4 linked regions of the Lonchura striata genome follow. The protein of the gene in region 1 interacts with the protein of each later gene in a biochemical or structural test. Links are inferred from orthologs where the notes say so. Each region holds a gene or a part of one and is shown in the gene's direction. Other genes may lie near its edges. The genes, in order: MAGI1, NET1, FCHSD2 and CRHR1.

Region 1 (7,445 bases):
AGAGGAAGGTGACATGAAGTCCCACTAAGGGGTGAATTTCCTTTTTCTTCCCAGCATCCTGTGGTCACATTCACTTTGAGCCAGCAGCCCTGGATGGAGCTCCAGCCACCCTGCTGCAAGAGGCTGGAAATGCCCTACACAGGGGCTGCATTTTGGGATGGACTTTGCTGGCCCAGCTCTGTCCCTGAGCAGGACCTGTCTGTGCTGGCTGGTCAGTAGCTTTCACCAGAGCTTCTCATGTCCTGACACTTGGAAGGTTTGCTGTAAATACAGGGTTTGTTCAGTACCTGGAGCTGGGTTATCTGCTGAAATGTTTGCCAGGGCCAGGACTCAAAGCAGCACCAGCCCATCTCCTCCTTGCTACCAGAGAGCAGCACCAGCCTGTTGAGAAAGCCTGGATGCTGCGAAGAAAATTCTCCTCCAGTAAAAGTTAAGTGGGATTAATATAAAAAAATTCTTGTTTGGGAAATAACCACAATACATGGCTTTTCTACTAACATATTCTGGTAGTGTGAGTGTGCCCACAGGAAACTTCAATCAATGTTTGAGAGACTGGATCTTGTTTAAAAACTTTCTCTTTTTTTTTTTTTTTTTTTTTTTTTCCAGGATTTATATGCTGAGGTCTTCAAAGCCTTGAGGCCCATGATATCAAAGGTTTGGGGTTTATCTGGAAATTAACAGTAATTCTGCTGTATTAAATAAGCTGTACTTTCATTTGTACTCTTAATCATTGTCATCTTTATGCTCTCTGGTGGGAGTACATGGCTGTGAACTGCCATAAACCCACAACATTCTCAGTGACTAGACATGGTTTTCCATTCCAAAAAAAGTCAAACTGTGGTTTCCTCAAGTTTCAGTAGGAAAGCTGAGAGAATGAGTTGATGCATGGGAGAGCTTTGACCCATTTTAGAATCCAGGACACAGCACGAAATTTCAGAGACGTTTGAGACCAAGACCATGGGTCAGTATCCTATTTGAAAGAACCATTTGAGCTGTTGTATGTTTGTAGCAGGGCCCAAAGCATGCAGAGCACCTGCTGAAGGAGGAAGAAAGCAGCAGCCTTCTCATCCTGACAAATTAGCAGCTGCCAATGCATGGGTTGGAGTGGCTGTAGAAAAAAGAGTAAGGGAATCAGGCTCTGGTTAAAGGCCTGAGCCCACCCAAGTCAGTTTTCACAGCGCTGTCCTGGGCTGTGGGCTGGTGAAGAGCATGCAGACCTGCATGAGATGAGGCTGGACCAGCTGCTGCAGGTGAAGTAGGATGGCTGCAGTGAGCCATTCTCAGATGAGGAGTGTGCCCTGAGCTTCTCCCTGCCCCATGTTCATGTTCAGCTGTTCCCCAGGTGGGTGTGTCTGAAGATTCCTTAATTACTCTTTGTGAAGTGCTTAGAGACCCTCACAAAAAGGAGAGTGTCATTATGAGAACTGCAGTTGTCAGAGATGAAGACAGTCTGTTAATCATTAAATCCATCCCCTGCAAAGCAGGACCACTGTCCCTGGGAGAGAGGCCAAGCTCTGCAATGAGAGGCAGTGCCAGGTTTGTATGCAGTAATCACCCAATTATCCATCAGCTGGTGTCAGGGACCCTTCTGGGCAGGAGCAGCCAGGCTCAGTTCTGTTAAAGGCTGACCAAGAGCTTCCTTTAATAGAGGTGGTTGGAGCAGCTGTGCCCTGAAATAATCTCCTTGCAGCAGTAAGGTGCAGTACAGTCACACAGCAATCAGGACAACAAAAAACCTTGGCTGTATTTGAGCTGATATAAGCAGTGCCAGCTTCCAGATTGACCACCTGGATGCAACAAGGTGATAAAATGGTAGAAAAGTGGTCCAGGATAAAAATTGAAGTGAAAATCTGAAAATCAAGATGAAGTTCTGGCTGAGAGTTGCCGGTTTTGTTAATTGTCAGCAAGAACAATTTTGGGAACACAGTGGCCCAGACATGGGTACAGTGTTAGGATTACAATGGGGACAGCTCACTTTCATTACAGTTGCAGTGTTTGTAAGCAAACTGAAAAGGGCCCTTGGAAGTCTGTCATCTCATAAATTTTACTATCAAAACTTGTTTTTCCAAACAGTCTTTTCCAAAAATTTTTCCATGAGGCATGAGTAGTTCCGTAAGATCTATTCAGGGCAACCACAGCTCATGTGATGTTCACATGGAACCCAGATGATTTTTAGCTTAGCAGGGCTGTCACATAAGACATCCTGCAAAATGATGATGAAAATACGTCACACCCAGCTCTGGGCTGTGAACAAGGGGCTCCCTGCACCATGAGCTCACGTGTGTGACACAACTATCACCCAGTGCACAGATGAAAGAGAAAGCCTTCCCCACAAGCTATGCTGCTGTTCTGTAGGGTCTACAGACCTCTGGAGCATTTCTTGCCCAGGGGATCCAGCCTGATGACCTATCCACTCTTTACTGGTGAAGGCACAGTAAAAAGCGTGCTGTCATCCTAAAAGTGACAAATGGGGCAGCTGGTTACTGAGCCAGCAAAAGCAGATGTGAGGCAGTTACTGCTGCTCAAACATAAGGGATCAGCACAGCTTTAAGGATGAAAACATATATGAAAGTTCCAAATGGAAAGAAACCTCTTGGAAGCAAGTGAGGGCTAGACACAGCAGGTACACTGAACTTCACGAGTCCACTTCTACCCGGGAAGGCAGGCTCTGCCTCTCGGTTGGAAGGACTTTCCTGAGCTCTGTAATCCCATCTGCTTCCCGTGGGCAGAGGTGCCTGAGGCACAGGGGATGGAGCGGGGTCACTGCTGTGCTGTGTGACACTGGCCGAGCCTTCCATTCCCGTGCCGGGATGTGGCTGCGCCACTCGGGCCGGGGACTGCGCTCCCGCGGCGGCAGAGCAGCGTCCGCAGCGATGGAGTTCTACAGGACAGCCAGATGAGGGATTGCAGCTGGGGAAAGGAGCATGGAATGCAGGAGGTGAGGGAAGCACAGGCGTCCCAGCTCCATCCGGGACAGGTGCGAGGGCAGGGAAAGAATCCCGGTCACCTCTGAGCTCTGTGCGCTGAGCCGGCTGATCAGCTGGGCCAGCATCAGACGATGTTAGGCTGAGCTGTTTCCCCACGCAGCGATGCTCCCCGAGCCTGCCGCCCCTCCCGCATCCCGGATCTCCGCGGGACACGCTCGGCTGGGGGGATGAGCGATGAAAGAGCGAGGCGGGCAGCAGTGAAAGTCTGCGGGCTGTGCTGTCTGAGCACACATCAGTGCAGCACAGGCAGCCAGACCAGACTCTTTGTTTCCCTGTGTCACTCCTCAGTCCCGATTAGCGGCAAAATAGGGCACGCACACGTCTGACAAGTGAATTCCGCGCTGGAAGGGGTTCGGTCATGCATAAGACTGCTGGAAATGAGGCCTGGCTTTCAGGTTTGGAAGCATGGAGCATGACCTGGAAGGGACAGCTGGTACGTGCACTCTTACTTTCCCGTTTTGAGTTTTGCACCAGTTCTGGGTAACTTTGAAGAGTTTTGGCGAAGGACAAACAAATGGATGCCCATCCCTTTCTCCAGCAGCCAGACCTCGCTATTAGTCTGTCCCAGCTTCTAAACAACGAGGACAGGACAATGTGAAAACATTATTAATGTCTCAAATTCGAGCACTCAATCAAAAACCGGAGTGCAGAACTAAGAGTAGGAGAGACTCACTCAGCCTCGCGCAAGCACTTTGATACCATTTTAATGATGGGCTTGTGCAAGTTTCTCCTCGGGATTTGTATTTGCGTCCTCTCCTGTAACAACCACCTGGAAAGCGCAGGTAAGAAGTGGTTTGCAACTGGGAAAATCCTAGAAATCCTCTCGGGAAAGCAAAGATCTGCCGTCCCCTGCAATATGAGCATCCCCGGGGGCGCGGGGCAGAGCACCCGCGCTCCGGCCCGGCTCGGAGAACGAGGATTCCAGGCGGGGGGCTCCCCCTCGGCGCGGCCCGAGGGGCCCGGCGGCCGCTTCCCCCCGCGGGGAAGTTGTGCGCGGGAGCGGGCGGAGCCGGGGCCGCCGGCCGGGCCGTGCCGGGGGCGGGGAGCGGGCGGGGGCCGGGCCGTGCCGGGGCGGGCCGTGCCAGGGCGCCTGCGCCGGCGGCGCGGAGCGCGGCGGAGCGGGACGGACCGAACTGGAACAAAACAAACGCCGCTTTGTATCGCCCCAAAGGCTCCGCGCCCCGCGCAGCGCCCGCGGAGAGGGGGCGGCAACACCGCGCGGCTGCCGGATTTGCTTTTTCGGCGCTTTTGAATAATTTTTAATTTTAATTTTTTTTTTTTCTTAATAAGAGGGGAGAAGGGACGGCGCGGAGGGGCGGGCGGGGGGCGGTGCGCGCCCTCCGCGGGCGCGGAGCCGTGCGGGCGGTGATGGCCTGAGCGGGCGGCGGGTCCGCGCCCCCTGCGCACCTGCCGAGCGCGCTCCGCGGGCGCGGAGGGACGCGCAGCGCCATGTCGCGGGTCGTGCAGAAGAAGAACCACTGGTCCAGCCGGGTGCGGCAGTGCGCGCTGACCCGCGGGCCCGGCGGGCAGCTGGGCTTCGCCCTGCTCGGCGGCGCGGAGCACGGCGAGTTCCCGTACGCGGGCGCGGCGGCGGGGGACGGCGAGGCGGCGCTGAGCGAGGGCGAGCTGCTGCTGGAGGTGCAGGGGGTCCGCGTGTCGGGGCTGCCGCGCTACGACGTGCTGGAAGTGATCCGGAGCTGCAAGGACCCCGTCGTGGTGAAAGCCGTCCGACAAGGTGCGAGGGGGACGAGGGGGGACCCGCGGCGCTGGGTGGCCGGGGGTGGCGAGCATCAGCCCCTCGGGGCGGACGGAGCCGCGGGTGCCGGTGCACCCACGCGTGTGCGCAGCTTCTGCGAGGGCACTGATGCACAGGCACCTCCTCGTCCGGAGCCGGCTGCAGCCGCCCCGCAGTCCCTGCCCTGCGCTAAGCGCAGCGAGCAATTGCGTGAGACTTTCCCAAAGGCGCCGCGGAGCTGCCGGCGCTCCCTGCGGGAACCCCGCGCTTGTCCGGGGGAGCTCGGTGTCCGGCTGACCCTTGGAGAGGCTGAGGGAGCTTCACTGCTGGGGGAATGGGGAGGGATCCCCTCCTCCAGCAGCTGAGCATCCTTTGGAGCTGCTGAGCTTGTTCCGAAAGTGCAGCGTGTGTTTGCCGGCTGCCAGCGTGGGAAGAAAAAGCTTGGACCCTCCTGCATCTTCCCTCTCTGGCTGAAAGGCTACTCGGATTTACCTTTCTTCCCCCTGGTTTACCCTAGGTGAGGGCACATCCGTGCTGCCAGCCCTGCAGCGCACAGGGGAAGGAACAGATAGGTAGCTCTCCTGTTTGGCTGAGGAAGAGGATAGGAAGAGTGCTCCCATGCTGGATTTAAAAGATGCCACTCCACATCCGTGTACACTCCACAGTCGCTCAACAGGTTAGCTAACAGGCCTGGCTAATGGGTTTGTGATTTCCAGGACAGGACTTCAATGTAGTGCCAAAAAGCTGTTGGTGCTGCGGCAGCCACCGAGGCTGGTTGGACCAGGAGGAGCAGGACTGCAGCTGGACAGCCGGAGCTGTGAGAGCTGCAGGAGCTCCCCGAGGTCAGCTCCAAGTGCAGGAAGGAAGGGAAGTTTTCTTCGTGTTGCCCGAGAGATTCCTTAGGGGAAAGTTTGTCATCCAGACGTGTGCATCCTAAAGGTGGGGGTTTCGCTCTGGCTTGTGGTGCGAGGGGTTTTTTTCCCTGTACTTCGTTCAACCCAGCTGGTAGCTGCAGACAGAATTTCTGGCCAGCTGGCAGGACTGTCACCTGAAGTCTTGTCCCTGGGCTCACGGGTGAGCTGAGATGAAGGGCTGCAGGCACTTGTTTCATCCCTGGAACCTCCGGAGCGAGCAGATGACAGCGATGGAGTCGGAGAGGAGCTGAGGCTGAGCACTGCCCTCCACCACCTGCCCGGAGCTGAGCCACCAAAGCACAGCGATTTGTTAGTCCCTTGCAGGACTCAGCAGCAACATTCCAGCAAACGCTGTCAAACTTCCAAAATACCCAGTTTTTCTTAAAAAAATGCCTGTTTTCCCTGCTGCCTTCACTCCACTGGGAAGTGGTGAGGGAAACTCAGCCTGCTGGTTTCCCTGCCCAAGCAGGAGGGGGAGAAAAGCATGAAGAAAAGTATGAGGAAATTAGGCAGAGGTTTTTTTACATACTGATTGTTTTAGCAGAAGTATTAAAGTACAGCTTGTGGTGTTGCAATGTGATCTGTGTTTGTGGAAGGAAGGTGTGTGTAAAACCCTTCCCAACCAAACAATTTGTGATCAAACTTTTTGCTGTTTTGGAAACATGAGTTAGTATAAATAAAACATGTCCTGGGAATAAACTGCACATGGCAGAACTTGGTGGTAAATGTGTCTCTGCTCCAGGATATGGTCAAAAGAACGGGCAGAGAGCTGAGTTTTAGTGTGTTGGTTGGGTTTACCTGGAAAGTGGGAGAAAAGGGTTCAAAAGGGTTGTAAGTCAGGGCAGGCACTTAAACCTTGGACTATTCCCATCTAGAGCTGAGAACCAAGCCCTTGGTTACTGTGGGATTGTAGTTTCTTTTTTTTTTTTTTTTCTTTCTCCATATTTTTAAGAAATAGTTTATTAGCCAAGAATGTGGAATATAAATAAATATTTGGTTTTTAAATCTCTAAACATTTTTGTGGTCTGGAAAACCTGTCAATGGTAGCCTGGCATCTGCACGCTGCTCTGTGCAAAGCAGGGATCTCCCTCATGTATCAGAATTATAAGCATAGAAAAGGAGAGTATTTTAATTAAAATTCATTACTTCTGTGTTGATTAAAAATCTGATTATGGCAATGGCAACTGTCAATCAACAGGAAAAGTGTGGCACTAGAGCAGACAGCCAAGGAGTGTGCAGATAAGATTGTAAACAAGTTTTTAACTATGATTTTCCTCCTCCGAGTTTGTAGTTTCTAACTGATTGGTGCTGAAGTGCTGGGGCAATATTAGCCTGGAAATGTATACATTTTATTGCCTGTCTGTTTTGTATGACATTTACAAGGCTGGAAAAACAGGAAATTTACTATAAGTCACTCCTTTGCAAGCATGAGCAGGAAAATAACGGTTCTGACCTTGCTGTTGGTGAAAGAGACTAGGATGGAAATGTAGGTTGAATAGGCTGTGCATGGACTTTATCATTAAACCAGAGTATGTAAAATTACAGGTTCACGTACAACATTTTCTTCTTGCTTTTGTGAGTGGTAAGTTTAAAAAATAAGTGCAAAAAGGAGGAACCTCTATGAAATCTCTTAATGGAAATACTGGTGTTTAATACTGGACATATGGGATTTCTTGGTCCTTTGCTTACCCTGGGAGGAAGAGTGAAGAAGGTTAAAGAACTTGAATGGAGCTTTCCCTTCCTTTTCCCCTTATGCTCCCTTTTTTGCTTTGACATTTGAGAATAAAGCTGTGCCATTATAGTTGCCTG
Region 2 (7,269 bases), on another chromosome or scaffold:
GGGATGGATGTTTGGTGTTTATCTCCATCCCTTGGGATGGGTTTGTGATCATCTCCATCCCTTGGGATGGGTTTGTGCTCATCTCCATCCCTTGGGATGGATGTTTGGTGTTTATCTCCATCCCTTGGATGGGTTTATGATCATCTCCATCCCTTGGGATGGATGTTTGGTGTTTATCTCCATCCCTTGAGATGGGTTTATGATCATCTCCATCCCTTGGGATGGATGTTTGGTGTTTATCTCCATCCCTTGGGATGGATGTTTGGTGTTTATCTCCATCCCTTGGATGGATTTGTGATCATGTCCATCCCTTGGGATGGATGTTTGGTGTTTATCTCCATCCCTTGGACGGGTTTATGGTGCTCATCTCCATCCCTTGGGATGGATGTTTGGTGTTTATCTCCATGCCTTGGGTGGATTTGTGATCATCTCCATCCCTTGGGATGGATGTTTGGTGCTCATCTCCATCCCTTGGGATGGATGTTTGGTGTTTATCTCCATCCCTTGGGATGGATGTTTGGTGTTTATCTCCATCCCTTGGGTGGGTTTATGGCGCTCATCTCCATCCCTTGGGATGGATGTTTGGTGCTCATCTCCATCCCTTGGGATGGATGTTTGGTGTTTATCTCCATGCCTTGGGTGGATTTGTGATCATCTCCATCCCTTGGGATGGATGTTTGGTGTTTATCTCCATCCCTTGAGATGGGTTTATGATCATCTCCATCCCTTGGGATGGATGTTTGGTGTTTATCTCCATCCCTTGGGATGGATGTTTGGTGTTTATCTCCATCCCTTGGATGGATTTGTGATCATGTCCATCCCTTGGGATGGATGTTTGGTGTTTATCTCCATCCCTTGGACGGGTTTATGGTGCTCATCTCCATCCCTTGGGATGGATGTTTGGTGTTTATCTCCATGCCTTGGGTGGATTTGTGATCATCTCCATCCCTTGGGATGGATGTTTGGTGCTCATCTCCATCCCTTGGGATGGATGTTTGGTGTTTATCTCCATCCCTTGGGATGGATGTTTGGTGTTTATCTCCATCCCTTGGGTGGGTTTATGGCGCTCATCTCCATCCCTTGGGATGGATGTTTGGTGTTTATCTCCATCCCTTGGGATGGATGTTTGGTGTTTATCTCCATGCCTTGGATGGGTTTATGGTGCTCATCTCCATCCCTTGGGATGGATGTTTGGTGTTTATCTCCATCCCTTGGGATGGATGTTTGGTGTTTATCTCCATCCCTTGGGTGGGTTTATGGTGCTCATCTCCATCCCTTGGGATGGATGTTTGGTGTTTATCTCCATCCCTTGGGTGGGTTTATGGCGCTCATCTCCACCGCTCAGGACAGATTTTCCCCAAAACTGTCATTGATGACCTGTAGAGATCCACCTGCCCCCCAGACACCATCCCACCCCGGAGTGGCCCGGCTCCTGGGCGCGTTGGTGGCTCCCAGGCCCTCTCCAAAGGCAGGGCACGTCCCAGGACACCAACCCCTCTGCCTGGCCCCACCATCCAGGAGCGTGTCACCCTCACCTGCCCAGGTGTCACCACAGAGCCAGGGATCACCGAGGACAGCTCAACCCCGCGCCACCAAGTGCCACCAAGTGCCACCAAGTGCCACCAAGCTGCTGGGGTGGCAGCAGGAGGAGCTTTGGCACCCGGGGACACAGCAGGAGAACTCCCGAACCTTCGGCCTGAGTTTGACACGGCTCGGAGCTCGGGTTTTAGGAGAAATTTTAACCTCTAAAAAAACATCGATTCGAGGGAGGGCTCGTCTGCTCTTTGGGGTTAAAAATAGCGGATTTCGGTAATTCAGGAAAGCGTTTTTGTGTCCGGAAGAGTCAGTCCGTCCTTTCAGCAAGTGCAGACTCGGTGGATCCTGAATTTCTGGGAGTCCTCCATGTCCCAGCAGTGCATGGCAGAGGTTAAGTGGCTGCAGATTTGCTGAGAGAAGCAAACAAAGCCAAAAATGAGAAATCCAGGGGAGGGGACAGCAGGATTTTCCTTTTTCTCTTCCTCCTGACTCTGAAAACAAAAAATAAATAAAAAATCGCTGTTTGCAAACCTCCTGCTGGAACCCAGCCCAAATTTCTCCCCTTGAAGCGGCAGCTTGGTCAGCACAGGTAGGCAGCCAAATCAAGTTTATTTTTACCAGCACAAGCAAGCTTTTATTTCAGAGGTTTGCAGCAGTGCCAGGAATAAAAGGACTTGAGCAAACAAACAGAAAATAGAAAATCCAAACCCTTTGCAGCTCCAGCCAGGCCTGCCGAGACAGGCTCCCCTGGGAGACGGGGGGAGAGGCTCAGCCCAGCCCCAGAGCTGTGCCAGCACAGCTTTAAAGCTCAGAGCACACTTAAAAGCACAGGTCTAGACACGAATTATTATTATTTTTTTAAAAAACATTTTGCAGCAGCAAAGGTTTTATATACTCCAGCGTTGGCAAGGAGAGCTGCTGTTAAAAGGAGGTTGTCCCGCCAGGCTGGAAGTGCCAGGAAAAAAACGCTAAAAATGAGGGGGGGAAAAAAATCAAAGATATGCTTGGCTTTGTGGGATGGGACAGAGTCTTTGCCCTCCTTGCAGCAGAGTCTCCTGGTGCCGTTTTTCACAGAATCCCGGGATGGGTGAGGCTGGAAAGGAGCCCAGGGGGTGACGGTGCCACTCATCCCAGGGCACAGGGCAGGGTCCGGTGCCTCGGGAATGTCCCCAGGGAGGGACTCGGGCCCTGCCCAGGGCAGAAGTTCTGCCCCTCACTTTGGGAAGGACATTGAGAGCTCAGCACATCCCGAGGGAGAGGGGCTGAGGGAGCTGGGGGTGCTCAGCCTGGAGAAAAGGAGACTCAGGGCTGGCCCCATCGCTCCCACAGCTCCTGGAAGGTGCCTGTGCCCAGCTGGGCTGGGGCTCTGGCTCCAGGCAGCCCTGACACAACCAGAGCACACAGCCTCAAGCTGTGCCCAGGGAAATTCAGGTGGGAGAGCAGGAAAAAGCTTTTCCAGAAAGGTGATGAAGCTCTGGGATGGCTGCCCGGGGAGGTGGTGGAGTCACCAGGCCTGGATGTGTTTGAAAAGCCTGGATGTGGCACTGGGTGCCAGGATCTCGATGCTCCTGGAGCTCTCTCCCAGCTCAGTCATTCTGTGAGTTCTGCCCCACATCCAGGGGAATTCCTGGGCTCAGCCCCTGCCCGTTCCCCTGGTGCCAGCGCTGGGCCCGGAGCAGAGCTGCTCCATCCTCTGGAAGCTCCCTGTGGATGTGGATCCCCATGGATGGGATCCCTCAGCCATGTCCCCTCTGCCCCTCCTGGGCACGGAGATGCTGCAAGCCCTGAGCCATCCCCACATCCCTCCTGTCCTGAGCAGCCACAGCTGCACGCAGCACTCAGAGGAACGAGCAGGAGCATTTTTTTGGGGGGAGAGGTTTTTTTGGGAGAATTCCACACGAATTTGGGGCTCCGGGAGGGTCCGCAGTGCCGCGGGGGGCGTGGCTTTGGCATTGATGGACGTGGTTTTGGTGTTGAGGGGGCGTGGCTTTGTTATTGAGGGGCGTGGTTTAGTGTGGAGGGGGCGTGGCTTTGGCATTGATGGACGTGGTTTTGGTGTTGAGGGGGCGTGGCTTTGTTATTGAGGGGCGTGGTTTAGTGTTGAGGGGGCGTGGCTTTGGCATTGATTGACGTGTTTAGTGTGGAGGGGGCGTGGCTTTGGCGTTGAGGGACGTGGTTTTACGTGGAGGGGGCGTGGCTTTGGCATTTATGGACGTGTTATAGTGTGGAGGGGGCGTGGCTTTGGCATTGATTGACGTGGTTTAGTGTGGAGGGGGCGTGGCTTTGACATTGATTTGCGTTGCTTTGGTATTGAGGGGTGTGGTTTAGTGTGGAGGGGCGTGGCTTTGGCATTGATTGTTGTTGTGGAGGGGGCGTGGCTTTGGCGTTGAGGGGCGTGGTTTAGTGTGGAGGGGGCGTGGCTTTGGCATTGATGGACGTGGATTAGTGTGGAGGGGGCGTGGTTTTGGCCTTGATGGACGTGGTTTAGTGTGGAGGGGGCGTGGCCTTGGCATTGATTGACGTGGTTTCGTGTGGGGGGGGGCTTTGGCATTGACGTGGTTTAGTGTGGAGGGGGCGTGGCTTTGGCATTGATTGACGTGGTTTAGCGTGAAGGGGGCGTGGCTTAGCGCGGAGGGGTCAATGCTTTGCCATTGAGGGGGCGTGGCCTTTGTCGCTGAGGGGGCGTGGCTCGCCGCGGTGGCCCCGCCCCCCGCGGTGACCCCCGGGCCGCGGCGCGCGCCGCGCGCAGAGCGCGATGAGCGCGGGCTGAGGGCGGGTCGGGCGCTGCCGCGGCCATGGTGGCGCACGACGAGCTCGGCGGGCTGCTGCCCATCAAAAGGACTATCCGCGTCATCGACGCGCAGAACCAGCACTTCAGGGAGCAGGAGGTGAGCGGGACGGGGCTGCAGAGGGGCGGGAATGGGAGAGTGGGGAGGGGGAGCCCCCTCAGCTTCGCGCCTGAGGGGAGGGGGCGAGGCGGGCAGAGCGCGGGGCAGCCAGCGGTTCAAAAAACTATCTCTACATATCCATGTTGAACTCCATCTCTGTGTATACTTATATTTTATGTGGCTGGCTTTATTTATTTATTTATTTATTCGGTATGGTTAAGCTCACAGCCCCCAAAGACTGGGACCAGGCATTATTTATTTATTTATTTATTTATTCGGTATGGTTAAGCTCACAGCCCCCAATGACTGGGACCAGGCAGCCAGAACCATATTTATTTATTTATTTGTTTGTTTATTTATTTATTTATTTATTCGGTATGGTTAAGCTCACAGCCCCCAATGACTGGGACCAGGCAGCCAGAACCATATTTATTTATTTATTTGTTTGTTTATTTATTTATTTATTTATTCGGTATGGTTAAGCTCACAGCCCCCAAAGACTGGGACCAGGCAGCCAGAACTTTATTTATTTGTTTGTTTATTTATTTATTTATTTATTTATTTATTCGGTATGGTTAAGCTCACAGCCCCCAAAGACTGGGACCAGGCAGCCAGAACTTTATTTATTTATTTATTTATTTATTTATTCGATATGGTTAAGCTCACAGCCCCCAAAGACTGGGACCAGGCAGCCAGAACTTTATTTATTTATTTATTTATTTATTTATTTATTTATTTATTCGGTATGGTTAAGCTCACAGCCCCCAAAGACTGGGACCAGGCAGCCAGAACCTTATTTATTTATTTATTTATTTATTTATTTATTTATTGGGTATGGTTAAGCTCACAGCCCCCAAAGACTGGGACCAGGCAGCCAGAACCGTGTTTGTTTGTTTGTTTGTTTGTTTATTTATTTATTTAATTAATTATTGTTTCGGTATGGTTAAGCTCACAGCCCCCAAAGACTGGGACCAGGCAGCCAGAACCGTGTTTGTTTGTTTATTTATTTATTTAATTAATTAATTAATTAATTATTGTTTCGGTATGGTTAAGCTCACAGCCCCCAGTGACTGGGACCAGGCGTCGGTGCCTCACCCGGCGATTTATAAACTGTATATATGTTTAAATCCATGTATATGTCCGTATCTTTTTATATGCATATGTATACACTTTGTACACATATATATACGTTACAGATATATAGATAGATAGGTATATGTATATATTTAAGCTCACAGCCCCCAAAGCCTGAGCCAAAACCAATCTCGGTGTCTCACCTGACCCCGCTCCCCCCCAGGTGCCTTTTCATTAAAAATTCGCCTGTTTTCATTTGGAAATCGCCTCTTTCCATTAAAAAGTCGCTCGCCTCTCAGCGCTCTTTCCACTGACAGGATTTTTCTTAATTAGGTGCTGTTTGTTTTGCTGCTTAAACCTTCGCAAAAGCCCTGGTGGGGTTTGCGGGGCTGGTTTGTTGGATGGCAGTATTGTTGTTTTTATGGCGTGGCGTTATTGCAGGTGGCAATAATTGCGACAGGAGCAAAAGTTCAGCAGCCAGGTAGGGCCCGGCTGCCTTGGGCTGGGTTTATTGCTCAGCTTAGTGGCGAGATGAGGTGGAAAAGTTTAAAAAAAAAAAAAAAGAAAGAAAAAAAAGGCGTTTCCAGACATGCTGAGGTTCGAGGGCTCAGCGCCGAGTCACCAACCTCAGCAAATCCCGGCTTGGCGACAGCCAAACTTGGGCAATCTCATTGTGCAAAAGGGAAACCAGATGTTGGGGGAGAAATAACAGAAAGCAGAGCTCTGGGCTGGGGAGTCAATCGCCTCGAATTGTGAATTCTGAAAGGGAGCCAACACCTCTGTCCGAGCCGCAGTCCACTCGGGAATGGGCTGTTGGGTTTGGGAAAGGTCTGATGGTTCAGCCTGAGGCTCGGCAAGCCCCCGTGCCATGGAGGTGGTCAGGTGGTCGGTGATTTCTGGCAGGAATTATTCAGGCTGCTGACTAAAATGCCATTTTTGCTGAATTGGCTGGGTAGGAAAACTTTTCGTCACGCGTGGTTTTGCCATTGCTCACCGTGTTTGTGTGGGGCTGGTGTGAACTGTGTGCCGCACGTAGGAATTGCACTCGAGCAAGGGATCCTTGTAAAAACCACTAATTATTACCCACTATTATAACCACTTAATTATTACCCAGCACAGGGGAAAGGTTGTGGGCGTGCTGCCGGAGAGAAAAAAAAAAATATCCTTGCTCAAAAGTACAGCCCGGTTTTCTTTCCAGCAAGGTGCAATCTTTTCATGAGTTAACCTGCACTTAGAAGCACTTGAAGGGATTTCAGGGGTGTGAAATCTCTCCTGGCACGAAAATAGCTTTTGTGGATGTATTAATTCACTTTAAATAAAGAGTTCTCTGGAAAAAACCATATTTCCTGATGGAGCTGTTGACCCCGCTGGGCTTTTAATAATTTGCGAGTGCTGTAACACCCGTGGATTGTTTCAGAAACCTCCCAGACTTTATTGTAATCTGGCTCCTGTGAGGCGTGGAGACAGGAGAGTCATTGTTTGCCAGTACAGAGCTATAAAAAAGCCCCTCCTGAGCCCGAGTTATCCGCAGCATGAGCCCGTGACCCCGGGCTGAAGCGCAGAGCTCAGCCGAGGGCAGCTTCCAGCACAGGGGGTTGATTTTCCTCCTCCCTGCTCTGGATCAAACCACCTTCAGCAGGACAAAAACCACCAGATGGGGTTTTTTTTTTATTTTTTTTTGGCAGTCGGGCCGTGTCTGAGGAGCGCTCAGGCACAAAGCGGGAATTTAGTTATTATTATTTTTTTTTCTCCTCTTTTAAGAGAGGGGAAA
Region 3 (7,245 bases), on another chromosome or scaffold:
CCGCTGAGGTGTCACCTGTCCCCTTGCCGCGGCTGTAGGAGCGGTGTGATCCGCATCCCCATGGCACCCCCGCGTGGGGAAAGCCTGGAGCCTGAGTTTTCCTCTGCGTGGAGGCCTTGAAGAAAGGCTGGGAACACCTTGCTCAGTGCCACCATCAGCTTCGAAAGCCTGGAAGAAACACACAGAACAGAATTGTGGATGTCAGATAATGCCAAACTCAATTTTTGGCTTTACGTGCTCCTGGGAGTGGTTGGGAACATTATGGAGATTATGGTTAATTATTTCAGATAATTTTATACTTTATTTTTTATTTGTTATACTTTTATTCACTTTTTGATTTTCCTTTTTTCCCCATTATTTTATTCTTATCTATATATGATATTTGATGAATTTTCCAATATAAATGAATTTATGAGTCTATGTGCATGTCTCTCTCAATCATTATATCCACTAAGCTTTTTATTACTTATATATTCATTTAAATATCAAATAAATTCTTATACATTCATATATATCCACACACAATACAAAATAAATATTCCTATACAAGAGAGCTGGGGAGGGACATTGAACAAGGGAGGGAGGGACAGGATAAGGGGGAATGGCTTTCCACTGACAGAGGAAATAGATGGGATATTGGGAAGGAATTCTTGGCTATGAGGGTGGTGAGGCCCTGGCACAGGGTGCCCAGAGAAATTGTGGATCCCTGGAAGTGTCCAAGGCTGGGTTGGACATTGGGGCTTGGAGCAGCCTGGGGTAATGGAAGGTGTCCCTACCCACTGCAGGGATGGAATGAGATTTTTTTTTTTTAAGGATGTTCCAACTAAGCCATTCTGGGATTCTATGACATTCCTAACCATTCATATTAGCTACAATTAAATATCATACATTTCACATAAAAAGCTGATTTCTCCAGAGGAAGCTGCTGTGCTGCAGGAGAGACCCCTCCATGGTCTCTACTGGTGAGCAAACCCTTCTGCCAGGGGTGTTCCTGCCAGCCCTGTGGGCAAAATCCACGGCTGGAGAAGTGGCTGTGCCAAGGCTCTGGCAGCGGAGCTGCCTCGCGCGTTAATCACGGGCCCAGCGCGGGTTCCAGCTTGCCAGATTCCACTCGGAAGCGCGTCCTGGCAGCTGAGAACCCTCCAACACATCGTGGGTTTGTGCTTGAAAAGGTTTAAACCCCTGCAGGGATTAAATTCAGATGTGAAGAATGAACAGGCCTGACGGGACAGCGCAGCAGCTGCTTGGGAGCTGGGATCCAACAAGTTGTCTTTGCCTGAGGATGGGAACCAAGGGAACTCTGCTCCCTAAAGGTCCTCTCCAAATTTTGCTTTTATGGCTAAATTCTTCTTTATTTTCCTTTTATTTTTATTCTGGATGAGGGAATAAGCGGCTGTTTTCAGCTGTGGGTTGTCACCATCAGCTGGAATTTGGCTTTTGGGGTTTCCAGCCTTGATGCCTCATCTCTGTTGGGGTTCCCTGAGAGGTGTGTATTGCTCTGGGGCTGTATTCTGCACCCTCCTTCATATAAAATGAAATGAAATGAAATGAAATGAAATGAAATGAAATGAAATGAAATGAAATGAAATGAAATAGAATGAAATAAAAAGAAATGAAATTAAACAGAATTAAATTAAATGAAACAAGATAAAATAAAGGTCAATAAAATATAAAATAATAAGTGGTCCAGTGGAAGGTGTTTCTGGCCATGGCATGGGATGGAACTGGATGATCCATAAGAGTCCTTTCCAACCCAAACCATTCTGGAATTCCATGAGACTCAACTGCCTTCAGGTCCTGCATTCCGAAAGGAGAAATCAAGGGATAAGGGCTCAGCCTAAGCTGGATTCCATTTATGCTGTGAAAACAAGTATTTTGATAAAATATACAACACTTAGACACTTATACTATTGACTTTTTGATAATCTTTATTTCACATCCTTGTTTTCCCCTATTATCAGCACTATTATTAAGATGTGGAAGAGCCATGGGCAGCTACAAGAGGCAGTTCCATCAGGATTTATCATCCCAGATGTAAAATCCTCCAGGATTCATGCCGAACCTGCAGCACTCCATGAGTCAGGCTTCAGGGAATCTGTGGTCAAACAGATAAAACATAATTATTCATGGAAGAATACAAGCAAATAGTGGAAAAACAAATGCATCATAAGGGAGGATGATACATCTGCGTGTAGGCCCGGTACCTAAAGTAATTCTCAGTCCAGCATGCAGGAGTCTGGGCATGATTTTTTAAAAGCCTGGGCAAATGGAAGGTGTCCTTGCCCATGGCAGGGGGGTGGAACTGGATGGGCTTTAAGGTCCCTTTCAGCCCAAACCATTTCATGATTCCATGAAGGGCTGCATACACAGATCCCATCCCCTTGCAGCCCTAAAAAGGAGATGAAATATTTTTTCACAGCATCTGCTGCTGCACCAGGTCTCAGCAACCATTTCAAGCTTCCCGCGGAGAAAGCGTTAAGGACTAATTAGCAGCACTAAATAAACTAATAGCTGGAGGGGGAAGCAGAATTCAAGTTGCATTTTAGTTTTAAAGGTGGTTAAAGCATCTTTAAAGGCAAGGGGTCATTTTCTGGGAGCTGGAGCAAAGCATCTCATCAATAATGAAGGAGTTGGTGATGGAGCTGCGGCACGCTGGAGCACTTGGGAAAATACAATTATGGGAATTGCCTGACGCTCTGCAAACTGCCCCAGAATTTGCTTAAGAGAAACAGCCAAATGCATGTTAATATTTCAAAGATTTCGTAGCAGCAGAACTAATAAGCAATGGCCAGGAATTTCAGTGCTGCAGAGGGGGGTTAAAACCCAAAAGTACTTCTGATCAGGGGTGTTTAATTCACGCTCAGTGAAACATGACAGAGCTGGGAGCGTCACTTCTGCCTCCTGGGCTCTCTGCATCTGCAATGCTGAAGAGTTCAGCTTTGTTTTATTTTATTTTCCTCTGCTTAAAACCAACCCCGTGCAAAAGCTCGTGTCTGGGTGCTCTGCTTCCCAGAGTGCTGCCCTTGGGATGCACCCGGATCTGGGATTCTCCATCAAGGGATTCTCCAGCTGCTGTCAGGGGGTGATGCTCCCTCATGTGCTTCAGCTCAAGTCCAGCCCTTGCTGCCCAGCTTTGTTAGAGCAGCCTGGAAAGTGCTGGGGAGAAGGGGATGGCTGCTTTGTGCCAGGGAGAACCCCAGATTTCCACCAGCTGTGTCCTACACACCAATCCCGGTGTGTGGATCCTGCACTGGATAGTGCTTTGGAGGGCATTGCACCCTTTTGGGAACCTCCTTGTACCCCTGAGCACCCCAACAGCATCCAGACCACTCCCTGTGCACCCCCCTTCACTGCCCCATGCACAGCCTGCACCCTCCCTGTGCAAACACCCTCACCTTTGTGCAGCCCTTGTGCAAACCCCAAACCCTTCGTGTGCCCCCTTCTGCTAAACCCCAAACCCTTCGTGTGCCTCCTTCTGCTAAACCCCAAACCCTTCGTGTGCCCCCCTGTGCAAACCCCAAACCCTTCGTGTGCCTCCTTCTGCTAAACCCCAGACCCTTCGTGTGCCCCCTTGTCCACCCCCTACACAGCCCCGCACCCTCACTGTGCCCCCGCACACACCCCCTTGTGCACACCCCACTGTGCACACACGCACACCCCGCAGCCCCCGCACACACCCCCTTGTGCACACCCCACTGTGCACACACGCACACCCCGCAGCCCCCGCACACACCCCCTTGTGCACACCCCAAGCCCCCATCGCGTCCCCACGGCGCCCCCTCCCCTCAGGCCGCCGCCCCCGTGGCGCCCCCCCGCGGCCGCCGCGCGCGCCGGGGGCGTTCCCGCCCCGCCCCTGGCCATGGCGGCCGCCGGGGGCTGTGCAGGCCCCGGGGCGGCCGCTGGGGGGCGCGCGCGGCCGCCGCGCGCCTCTCGCTGCGTCGGGTTTGGTTTGGGTTGGTTTTTGGTTTTGTTTTCTTTTTTTGTTGTTGTTGTTTTCTTTTTTTCCCTTTCTTTCTTTCTTTTTTTTTTTTTTTTTCCTCTTTCCTTCCTCCTTTTATTTCTCCGCCACCACATCTTTTCCCGAAGTCTCTCCCCGCTCTCCCTCCGTCGCCTCCTTCCCCTCGCCGCTCCCCAGCGCCGGGACGCGGCTCCGCTGCCCGCAAGGAAGAGGCGGCCTCCCCCCACCGTCCCTCCCCGCCTCCCTCCCTTCCCTCCCCGCTCCTCCCGCCAACCGGGACTCGCCCCGAACCGGGAGGGAGACGGTCGCTCCCCGCTCCTCCTCCTGCTGCTGCTCCTCCTCCTGCAGCGGGGGCCGCATCCTGCTGCCGGGGGGAGGGAATTGATGTGGATGCCCAGCGCAGCACCAGCACCATGCAGCCGCCGCCGAGGAAGGTGAGACCCCCGCCCGGCGCAGGGGGCTGTTTGCGGAGGGGCCGGGGCGGCCGAGCGGTGGTTGCGGCGTGGGGCGGGGTGCTTTGGGCTGCGGGGGGATTCGGGGGTCCGAGGCCGCGGGGAGGGGGCGCAGGGTGGGCTGTGCGGCGGGGGAGGCTGCGGGAAGCTTCGGAGAGGGAGCGCGAGTGTTGGGAAGGGAGCGGGGGGCTCGGCGGAGAGCTGGGGGCCGGGGGGGCTTTGGCGAGGGTGGCCGTGCAAGGTGGGTCGTGGGGGGATGTCGGGGGGCGCTGGGGACCGGGCACGGAGGGGCGGGATGGGTTGGGAGCGAGCTGCGGAGGTAGGACAGGGCAGGGATGGGGACGCGCCGGTGAGGATGGAGGTGCAGGGGGGCTTGGGGACCCCCCTCTGCAGAAGGGAGACGGAGGGCAGGGAGGGGTGAGCGGCTGCGGAGGGCTCGGCTGCACGGGGGCGTGGAGGTCGTGCTGCCTGCGGGGTGCTCCCACGGGAATTTTGGGGGCTCCCGCGGTGCGTCGGTGCCAGCAACGAGGGGTTGGTTGTCTTGGGGAAGGAGGTCACGTCTGGAGTTGATCCAGGGACGCAGCCTGTCCCGGCGTGTGCCAGGAGCACACAGGAGCAGGGGCAGGCGGAATTGTGCAGCATTTCCACGCGCGTTCCCACGTGCGATGGGGAACAACATGCCGATGCTCCGGGGAGGCTCTTCGGTGACCCTGCGGTCCCTGGCAATGTGGGCTGCTGCCCGGCGGGGGGACTGGTGCGGGAGCGGAGGCAAGCGGGAATGGAAATTTGGGATAGAGGATGTGCCCGCTGTGCCTTGTCTGGCTGGGCAGGTTGGTATCTGGGAGACCTGAGCTGCCTTGAGTTGCTCCGGGGTGATTTTTGGGCACGTTCTGGGGGTTGCGCGGAATGTGGGGCTGCAGGGAGAAGGCAGAGCTGCAGAGGATGGAGAGGCTGCTGCTGTGCGGGCAGGGGTTCCGTGGGGCTGAGACCTGTGCCTGTTCCATGTCCGCGGTCCTGCCCGCTTGGGGATGCTCTGGCTGTGATGGTTGCAGCCCCGTGGAGATTTTCGGTGGGATTTCTCTGTGGGGACAGTTCTGCTCCTGGCAAAGCCCTGCAACAGTGACCAGGAGAGGAGGGAACATGAACAGGATTCCCTTGTCATGCCCAGAGCTCCCCAGTAGCCCTGGCAGGCAGCTGCAATGAAGGTCTCTCATTCCTGCTTCTCAGCCTCTTATTTTAGGAGCAGACTCTGATTTTGTCAAACAAAACCAATTTCATTTCAATTATTTCAATTTTAGTTTATTTATTTTACATGTTTGTCGTTCTTTGCCTGTACTATTTCATTTGCGATTATTTCCATTACCTGGTTTGTGTCGTGTGGATTTATTTATTTTGAGTTGGGCTTTTTTTTAATACACAGATAAAACCAAAAATGCTGAAAGTTCACATTAAAAATAGACATTTTTTTCTGCTTAAAGTCAGAGACATACATGTGATTTATTTTTCTGGTGTCATGTGAAAAATTTGTCTTTATGTGATGTTGTCATTAAAGGGTGCTTGTTGCTGAGGCATGGTTTTCAGAGTTAAAATAGAGAAGCTGATGAGATTCAGGATTTCTTTTTTTTTGCCTGGCTAGTGAAGAAGAGTGAGATGGGTGCCCTCTTCCTCTGTTAATTTCTCATCCCTCTGCAGTAATGGTTTGGCACTTCTATCCTCATGAATTCATAATGTCTTCAGAGATATTTGTGGTCATTTTTTAGGCCGATATGTGGATTCCCTGTGATCACTAGAGGGCTTAAATATCAAGACCTCTTGTTTAATAAAAAAACAAGAACAAAACAATTCCAAGGTTACCTTCCAAAACCAAATCCTATACCTGTGCCATTGGTGCTCCTTGCCAGTTACCAAGCAGGTTCCCAAAGTATTGGAATTTTGGATGATCCCAAAGTATTGGAATTTTGATCACAAGGCTCAAAGGAAAACTACAGTAGTACTAAAAATGTAAAGCCAGCCTTCTGAAGCCTTTCCCAGTTTGTTTGTTTGTTTTCTTATTGAAATGTGACTTAAACTACAGGAAATGTAAGTGATCCTTGGGCTTGTTTGTTTCTTTTCTTGTTGAAATGTGACTGGAACTGCAGAAAATATAAGTGGTCCTTGAATTTGTTTGGTTTTTTTGTAGGTAAAAGTTACACAAGAGCTGAAAAACGTTCAGGTTGAGCAGATGACAAAACTTCAGGCCAAGCATCAGGCAGAATGTGACCTACTGGAAGATATCAGGTAAGGCTACAGAAAATGTTACCAAAATTCCTTTAAGGTCCAGTTTTTGGAAGAACATTTGAGTTACAAAATTCAGGAACTGACGATGGAATTTCCTCTTTGGATTTCCTGCTTTTAGGCTGTTAAAGTTTTGACACAGCTGGAAATTATAACTGGAGCTAACACAATGCAAACCCTTTTTTTTTTCTTTTCTTCAATGGGGGAAATGTTAAAAGAAACTCACAAACAACAATCCAGAAAGCATTGGTCTTTTCAGCAATATTTATTTATATAATATACTGAGACTTTGATTTACCAGTTGTAAAAGGCTGCTAAAATTACTAAAATATTTTAAAGCCACTGATAATTTATGTCTCTCTAGAGATAGCTTTGAAAATCACTTTCAAGCAGATTGCATTTTTTACCAGAAAGTTACAAGAAGATATTTGCATTTATAATTTAAAACTCTGAATGGGTTCAAAACAATAGAGAAAATCCACACAACATCAGTTGTGGGGGTTTTATTATTTCTTTTACCTAATATGATTTGATTCTCCTGAAATTAAAGGTTTGCTTTTA
Region 4 (6,924 bases), on another chromosome or scaffold:
AAACCATGGAGTTTTTCCCAACCACAAACCACTGTGATCTGTTTGATGGGAAATGCCAACTGCTGATTGGGAAATTTCAGTTGACTTTGCTTTGAATGAGAAAAATAATAATTATGACTTTTATTATGATCAGTTTAGCATTCTGCCTTGAGGTTTAATTAGCTGAAGAACAAAAGCTTTTGTGTTTCTGTTATATTCAAAACTGACACATCCTCCCAAAAGCAATTTGAAAAACATGGCAAACACTTTTGAGAAACTTGGGAAGCAAATGAGAAATTCAGTTAGATCCCAAATCTTTGTGGGTTTCCTTGAGTTTGCAGTTGCCATGTTTTTGTAAATGTGGGATCTCCTATTAATGCACACAGTGTGGGAATTAAAAATGGCAGGGGGGATTTATCCGTGTAAATGAAAGAATCAGTCACTTGCTGCATGGAGCAATGAGTCAGAGTAAACCCAGCTCCATGTGTCTGAGTTTTCCTTCTCCCAGCAGGACACTAGTTTGTCTTCCTGCATGGACTCTTCTGCATCTCCAGCAGAGTTTGACGGGACGAACAGGGGTCTGAAGTGTCCAGAGGCCACCCAAGCATTTGCAAGGCCTTCAAGAAAATCTGCCAGCACAGCTCTAAGGTAATACTCACTGAATGAGGTTGGTAACAATCTTTGGTTTCTTTCCCTGCAATGTTTTCAGCAGGGCTGTGGCTTGAGCTTTCCTGCTCTTCGTTTCAGAGCACCTGAGATTTGCAGGGGTGAAGCAGGTGATACAGAGTGGTCAAATACAACAGGGATACTCAAATATGAGGCATGATTATACTATGTGGTAAGCAGGAATGAGAGGAACCTCATCCCAGCAGCTACTTTCTTTAGTCAGGCAGAGTTTGAGAGAGTGTTCCCCTCACTGCAGGTCTAGGAGGAGGGAAAAGGACACAGGACAGAAAACCTGGAAACTAATTTTAAAAGCGGGGCAAAAAACAAGTCTCCTGGGAGAAACAATGTGGTGGGTTGGATTTTTTCTTGGCCTGCAGTTGCTAACACAGCCCCATGTGCTGACAGCCTGTCCTCCCCTGAGCAGTGCCCCGAGCATTCCCAGCTGCACTCAACCTCCTGGGAAAGAAACAGTCCCAACACACAGGTGGGGAAATTGAGGCACACTGCTGATCTCAGCTGGGATTTCAGCTGAGAAGCTAAACCTCACCTTTCCACCAAACTGGCCTAAATGTCCAGGACACTGAGGATTATTTTCTCCTACAGATGTCCTAGCTGGAAGCAAAGCCCTGCTACCAGTGCTCCATGGGAGAAGCAAGGATGCATTTCCCTGCACCCTTTCAGTGCACGGAACAGTCCCAGTCTCATCCCTATACTGCAGGAGGGACACATGGAGTTTTCCCAAACCAGGTGAAGGTTGGCTGCAGGGACAGGGTGGGAGCAGGGCAGTGGTGTAAGTCCTGCAAACAGCCCCAAAGTGCAGCTGTCATGGAGCTGCTCAGACACAGGACTGTCAAACCACATGGAGTTACATAAAATAATAGTTTACCAAAGGCAGGTAAGTCAGACTCAATCTCTCCCTCCTTCCTAGATATCCGATATTTCTCTTCATTGTCTCCATCCCTAAAAGCCATATCCAACATCTGTCTCTGCACTGCATCGAGAAGTTTGAGATTAACCGTGACAAATGGACTGATTTCTGTGTCTCAGGGACTGTTCTATTTTTCCTTTGCCACATCTGACAAGTTGCATTTTACTATAAATCCCCTCAATTAGGTGCTTTAAACAACACTGCAGCCTTTTCCCTGATATATGGGGAAGGAATTATTTTCATGTCCCTGGCAACCAATTCCTTAACTAAAAATAGTGCTCACTTCTGCCTTCCTTGCATCACCTCATACTTAGGGCACCTGAGCAGAGCATGGCCATCCTACATGTCCTTCTTGCTGGCCATGGGCAGGCTGAGATGATGAAAGACAATCCTTGGTCTTGGTGTGGGAATAAGGTCTCTTGTGCTTCCCATTGCAAGGTCCCTTCTGTCCCCTGGGTGCACAAAGCCCTGAGCAGCCTCCAAAACCAGAGTGTGTTTTGTGACCAGGAACTGTGCCCTAGACCTGTGATGGTAGAAGGTGTCCCATGGCAGGGGTTTGGAACTACATGATCTCCCAATTCAAACAATTCCATGATCCTGTGATGCCCTCAGCTGAATCCAGGATGCTCAAAATTATTTGGAGCAAGCTTTCTCAAGCCATTTGTAGAAAATTATGCATTTTCCATGGGCTTATTGAAGTGAGAGGTAACACAAGGGTGGCTCTGGAGTCTGTCTCATCCCATACTTGTCACAGGAGGGATGTTAAGATATCTCAGAAACAAAAGTTTGCTGAATTTACCAGAGATTTAAATATTTTCATATTTCTTTGTCAAAGCAGTGACACAATTGATTTAACCCAGCTAACGCCAAAAGATTTATGTCTGTGTTGTTTATTCCCCTTAATTACTGGGCCAGGAGCATTTACCCTTTGGGGGCCAGGATGGGTCACTAGGTGCCCCCACATGCTGGGACACAGCCCTGCTCAGTACTTGTGCCTTGGTCCTGCAGCTGCAGGTGCTCCAGAGACAAAGAGCAGCTCAGTAAAGATGGATAGAGGCTGTGGCCGTGAATTCATCAAGAGACTCTGCCCTTCTATTGATTTATCTGCAACCTGCTGTGGTCTGCAGCCATTCCCAGAGGCAGAGCCTGCAGCTGGGAGCACAATCCAGCACCCTGTGAGAGGCTGGTGGTAGATGAAGCGTCATCAGCTAAGGGAAATATCACACCCCTAGATGGTGGTCCCATGGCAATATTTTCCAGCATCCCCCCTCCCAGCAGTACACCTCATTGATCCTTATTTCCTCAAGGAAAGAAGGAAGCAACAATCTGTTGCCTGGCTGTCTGCCCCAGCTCACCTCAGGCTGATGGAGCTGGGCTCACTCCCAGGATACGCAGAGCACCCACAGTGGGACACCCCCCTAAACCTCAGTGAGTACAGAAGGCATGCTCTGAAACTGCCCTGGCATGGGGGAGCAGGTTTAACCCAGCCTACCAACTCAGGGATGGACACAATCCTGACCATATCAACCCCGGGACACAGGGGTGTGTGGAATCCCTCCCCAGGAGACCAGGAGATGGCTGCCAGGGAACTGCAGGAGCTGAGACACAGAGGTGTGACAGGAGACCCTTTAAAGCCAGAGGGTTATGCTAGGCGAGAAGGGACATATCATTATGCAAGACCTCAGGAGCATCATCCAGGCTCTCCCACACCACTGTTCCCCACCCTTCCCCCCCTTCTCTATCAGTTCAAACCCCACCTGCTCCTGTCCCATCACCTCTGCCCCTGCCACCAACCCAGCTTACGGGACAAAGCACGGTGCTAGCAGCACCTCCACTTCCTCCGGGTCCACCCTTGTGATCAAACATCCCTCGCACAGTCCCGCTGTGTGGAAGACCCGAGTCCACCTGCCCCACATCCCTGTTCTTCCCTCAGGAGCCTCTCCCTCGCAAGGCAGGGCTGAAACCCCTTCCACCCCATCCCTGTGGAAGAGAAAAGGGGCTCTGCCCTCCTTTCGTGCTCACCATCCGTTTTGCAAAGGGGCTGCAAAGGCTGACGGGGGGGACCTGGGAGAAACTGGGACACTTGTCCCAGTTCCTCTGACAGAGCCCTGGAGCGAAATCCCCAAATGTGTAACACCCGCTCATCCCCTCATCCCCGGCAAATGCAGCCCCAAAGCCTTCGCAGACACAAAAGAAGCCGCCAGGCTCCACAGGAGGGACCCCACAGCGTCTGCACGATGGGAGTGAGAGGGGTGGAGAGGAGAAACCCCCTCCAAGGAGAGGCGGGAGGGCGGTCCCTGGGCCGGTGGGAAGTTTCTGCTGCTGAAGATGCTGAGGGAGGGAAGGAGAAAAGGGGGGCGGGGGGGGAGAAATCAAATACAGTTGGAAGGCACCAGGGAGGTGGAGGAAGGAAAAGGGGAGGAGGAAGAGGAGGAGGAGGGAGAGAAGGGGGAGTGGGAGGCTGGTGAGGAGGGATGTAGCCCATCGCCAGGCGAGCTGGAAGGTGGGCAGCCGGAGGACCGGCTCCGAGGAGGTTATAAAAGGCAGGACCGGGACGCAGAAGGACCCGCAGCCTCCGCGCAGCCCTGCGGGACCCGCCAGGCTCCTTCGCTGGAAGCCCAGAGGATTGTCTCCCCGACGGCAGGAGCAGCCCGGCAGGAGCGGGGACGCTGCCGGCCATGCCCCGGGGAGCTGGGCGCAGGGGCAGCTGAGGATGGTGCCCAGCCTACGTCCTGCCCTCCTCCTCCTGCAGGTAAGATGCTTTAAGTCCTCTTCTCCCATAAGGGCCCTTCTGCCCCGTCCCCATCACCCCTACGCCGTGCATCGCCCGCGTTCTCCGCAGTGACTTTTCAATTTCTTTGACGGGAAAAGTAGGAAGAGAAACCGCAACACAAAGGGCCCTCGGGAGAATTCCTCCAGTCGAGGCACTGGGGTTTAGCAAGATCTCGTGATGCTCAAAGACTATCGGGGAGGGGGGCTGAAGTGAGTGAAAGGATCATTTAAAGGGGGGGAGAATCGCAGCCAGGTCCTCCTGAACTCACCCCAGGGCTCCCAGTAACTCCCAGCCTTGCACCTCCCAGTGAAAACAGCTGCCACCAGTTTCCCAGGCTGCTGGGAGCGGGTGGCCACTCTGGGCGTGTGGTGGATGTGGACAGTGCAAATGCACAGTCCAGTTGTACCTCCCATAATTAATTTTCTAAGGAACCCTCTCCTTTACTGCCCTGCACCTGCAAAGCACAACACTTTTTCTCTCTAATTTGCTTGCTGTGGAACTGTAGCCACTGCTAATTTTGCAGCTCTGCACAATATGCAAATGCTTTGTCAGAAGCAATATTCCTCCTCCTTGAGGGCTCATCAAGGAGGGAAACATTAACAGCCCCAAAGCTTGTTTAAATCCCAAGCCATGGACAAACAAGATGAAGGGTCTCCCAGTGAAATCTTGAATTTTATTTGAACAAGCCTAGAGTGGCAGTTAAACAAATTGATCAGGTTTCTGATAAAACCTCTGTGTCAAGGAGGGGTAAAAGAACAAATCTGCCTGACTGGCTGCAGAATGGTGTCTCAGTGGCCCAGCTGGGACTGCAGAGTTAAAACAGCAGGTAAAGTGGAGGGAGAGCTCTCCCCATTGTCACCACTACGGCTTGTACCCTGCAGGCTGTGCACCCCACTGTTCACTCCAATGCGTATCTCACATGTCAGCTGCACCTCTGGGCCAGGAAAGTTCTTACCTAAATGATGAAAAGAGCTGATGAGCACCAGGAGACCTCCTGCCTAGTTGGTGTTGCTTCTAAAAACTCTTCTGAGCAGCTGCTCTCTCTTATTGCTGTAACCCACTAAGCCTGATTGATAGGGTTTATGGGAGCTATTTTGCTGTTACTTTCCCTGGTTCAGGTTTTGTTGGGCTCTGATGTAAGAAATAAAGCTGACACAGGGCAGGATCTTTTCCCCCAGCCCAGGTCCTTCTTGGCCAGTCTAGCACAGACCCAGTGCAGTAAGATCATGTTCTGGTGGGGAGAGCCACGTGAACATGACAGCTCCTAATAACTTCGGTGAGCAAAAAGTGGTACAAAAGAAGCCCAGAGGTGCTGATACACAGCTTCCATCCTCTGTCAAAGCTCCTTAGGCTCAGGGGGACTCCCTTGCCATCCCCAGGTGTTCCCCAAGGATATTCTCCTTGTGAAGGTGGAGCAGCAAATCTTCACAAACCTTCCAGATTCTGAGACAAAACCATCCCTGCACTCTGGCTGGGACCAGGAGAGAGGGGTCAGAAAAACCAGACCAGACAAAGAGAAGCCTCTCCAGCTGGCTCCAAAAAGAAACAGCCAATCTACAACTACCCCCCCCCACCCCCACTTTGCAGTCAAGCTGTCTATTTTTCCTTATAAATACATGCATTCAAATCTCAGATGTTTTTCCAGAACAGTCCTAACCCTCTCTTGGGGACAGCATGAACTAAAGGACCATGAAACTCCAGCCATGAGTGCATCCCTGCAGCCAGGTATAGCTGCAGCAGCATCCTGCCTGTGAGTGCAGAGACCTGCAGCAGCCCAGCTCCAACCCAGAGCTCAGCAGGGACAAACCTCCCCTGCAGATACTGGGTTGGCACAGTTTAGGCGTTCCCCGTGCACCTGGTTTGTACCTCCACTTTAGCATCAGTTTGCCCATGTTGCTTTACTGAATAGACATCCCTCAGGATGTCGGACAGACAGACTAGGAGATAGGCAGCCAAACTTGCTGCCAAACTTGCTGCCAAGTGCTCCCTGGCACCCTTGCAAGTCATTGAAACAAACTAAAAAAGTGATTAAAAATAAACCAGTCCACTTGCATCTCTGTCAGGAGCCAATGACATTTCTGTGGCTGATAGAACTGCAAAGTGTTTTATGAAAAATCAGGGATTGATGATTTGGTTTCACTTGACCACCTCCAGCAGCAATAAGCCCAAAAACAACCCCTGCTCCTTCCATGCTTGAATCCTTGCATAAAATGCAGAGCTGCAGTTGCAGGACATGCTGACCCTGGGGATCTCTTCCAGTCCTTGCTTTCCTTAAAAGCTGGAGTTGATTCAGTGTGTATGAAATCATCCCTGTGGTTCTGCATCTCCAGCAAAGAAGTGAATGGAAAAGGCACAGCCTGTTCCCAGAATAGCTGCACTATCACCACAGGATGTATAGGAATACAATGAGAATATCCTGCACCACCAGCTCAACCCTGCCCTGAAATCCAGCTCTGCTCCCAAAATCCTGCACAGGGTTAGCCTAGAAGTTCATTGTGAGTGACAAGCTCAAGCTGCAATTGAGTCTGCAGTGCTTAGAGAGGCTGCATCCATGGATTTGTCTGTGAGAACAGTTTTT

The links.
Region 2: the proteins of MAGI1 (region 1) and NET1 form a complex in vitro, tested with the Homo sapiens proteins (3 studies listed by BioGRID and IntAct, with this or other methods). The link is inferred for Lonchura striata from reciprocal best matches to the Homo sapiens genes MAGI1 and NET1.
Region 3: the proteins of MAGI1 (region 1) and FCHSD2 form a complex in vitro, tested with the Homo sapiens proteins (2 studies listed by BioGRID and IntAct, with this or other methods). The link is inferred for Lonchura striata from reciprocal best matches to the Homo sapiens genes MAGI1 and FCHSD2.
Region 4: the proteins of MAGI1 (region 1) and CRHR1 form a complex in vitro, tested with the Homo sapiens proteins (2 studies listed by BioGRID and IntAct, with this or other methods). The link is inferred for Lonchura striata from reciprocal best matches to the Homo sapiens genes MAGI1 and CRHR1.

What each region holds. Positions count from the first base shown.
Region 1 is NC_134614.1:18,543,252-18,550,696, reverse strand, and holds the start of MAGI1 (membrane-associated guanylate kinase, WW and PDZ domain-containing protein 1), read left to right. Parts: upstream 1-4,436; coding exon 4,437-4,722; intron 4,723-7,445. UniProt on the Homo sapiens protein: Plays a role in coupling actin fibers to cell junctions in endothelial cells, via its interaction with AMOTL2 and CDH5. May regulate acid-induced ASIC3 currents by modulating its expression at the cell surface.
Region 2 is NC_134607.1:71,735,439-71,742,707, forward strand, and holds the start of NET1 (neuroepithelial cell-transforming gene 1 protein), read left to right. Parts: upstream 1-4,253; 5' UTR 4,254-4,331; coding exon 4,332-4,424; intron 4,425-7,269. UniProt on the Homo sapiens protein: Acts as a guanine nucleotide exchange factor (GEF) for RhoA GTPase. May be involved in activation of the SAPK/JNK pathway Stimulates genotoxic stress-induced RHOB activity in breast cancer cells leading to their cell death.
Region 3 is NC_134604.1:18,202,750-18,209,994, reverse strand, and holds the start of FCHSD2 (F-BAR and double SH3 domains protein 2), read left to right. Parts: upstream 1-4,237; 5' UTR 4,238-4,371; coding exon 4,372-4,392; intron 4,393-6,589; coding exon 6,590-6,687; intron 6,688-7,245. UniProt on the Homo sapiens protein: Adapter protein that plays a role in endocytosis via clathrin-coated pits. Contributes to the internalization of cell surface receptors, such as integrin ITGB1 and transferrin receptor.
Region 4 is NC_134627.1:1,368,965-1,375,888, reverse strand, and holds the start of CRHR1 (corticotropin-releasing factor receptor 1), read left to right. Parts: upstream 1-3,909; 5' UTR 3,910-4,286; coding exon 4,287-4,325; intron 4,326-6,924.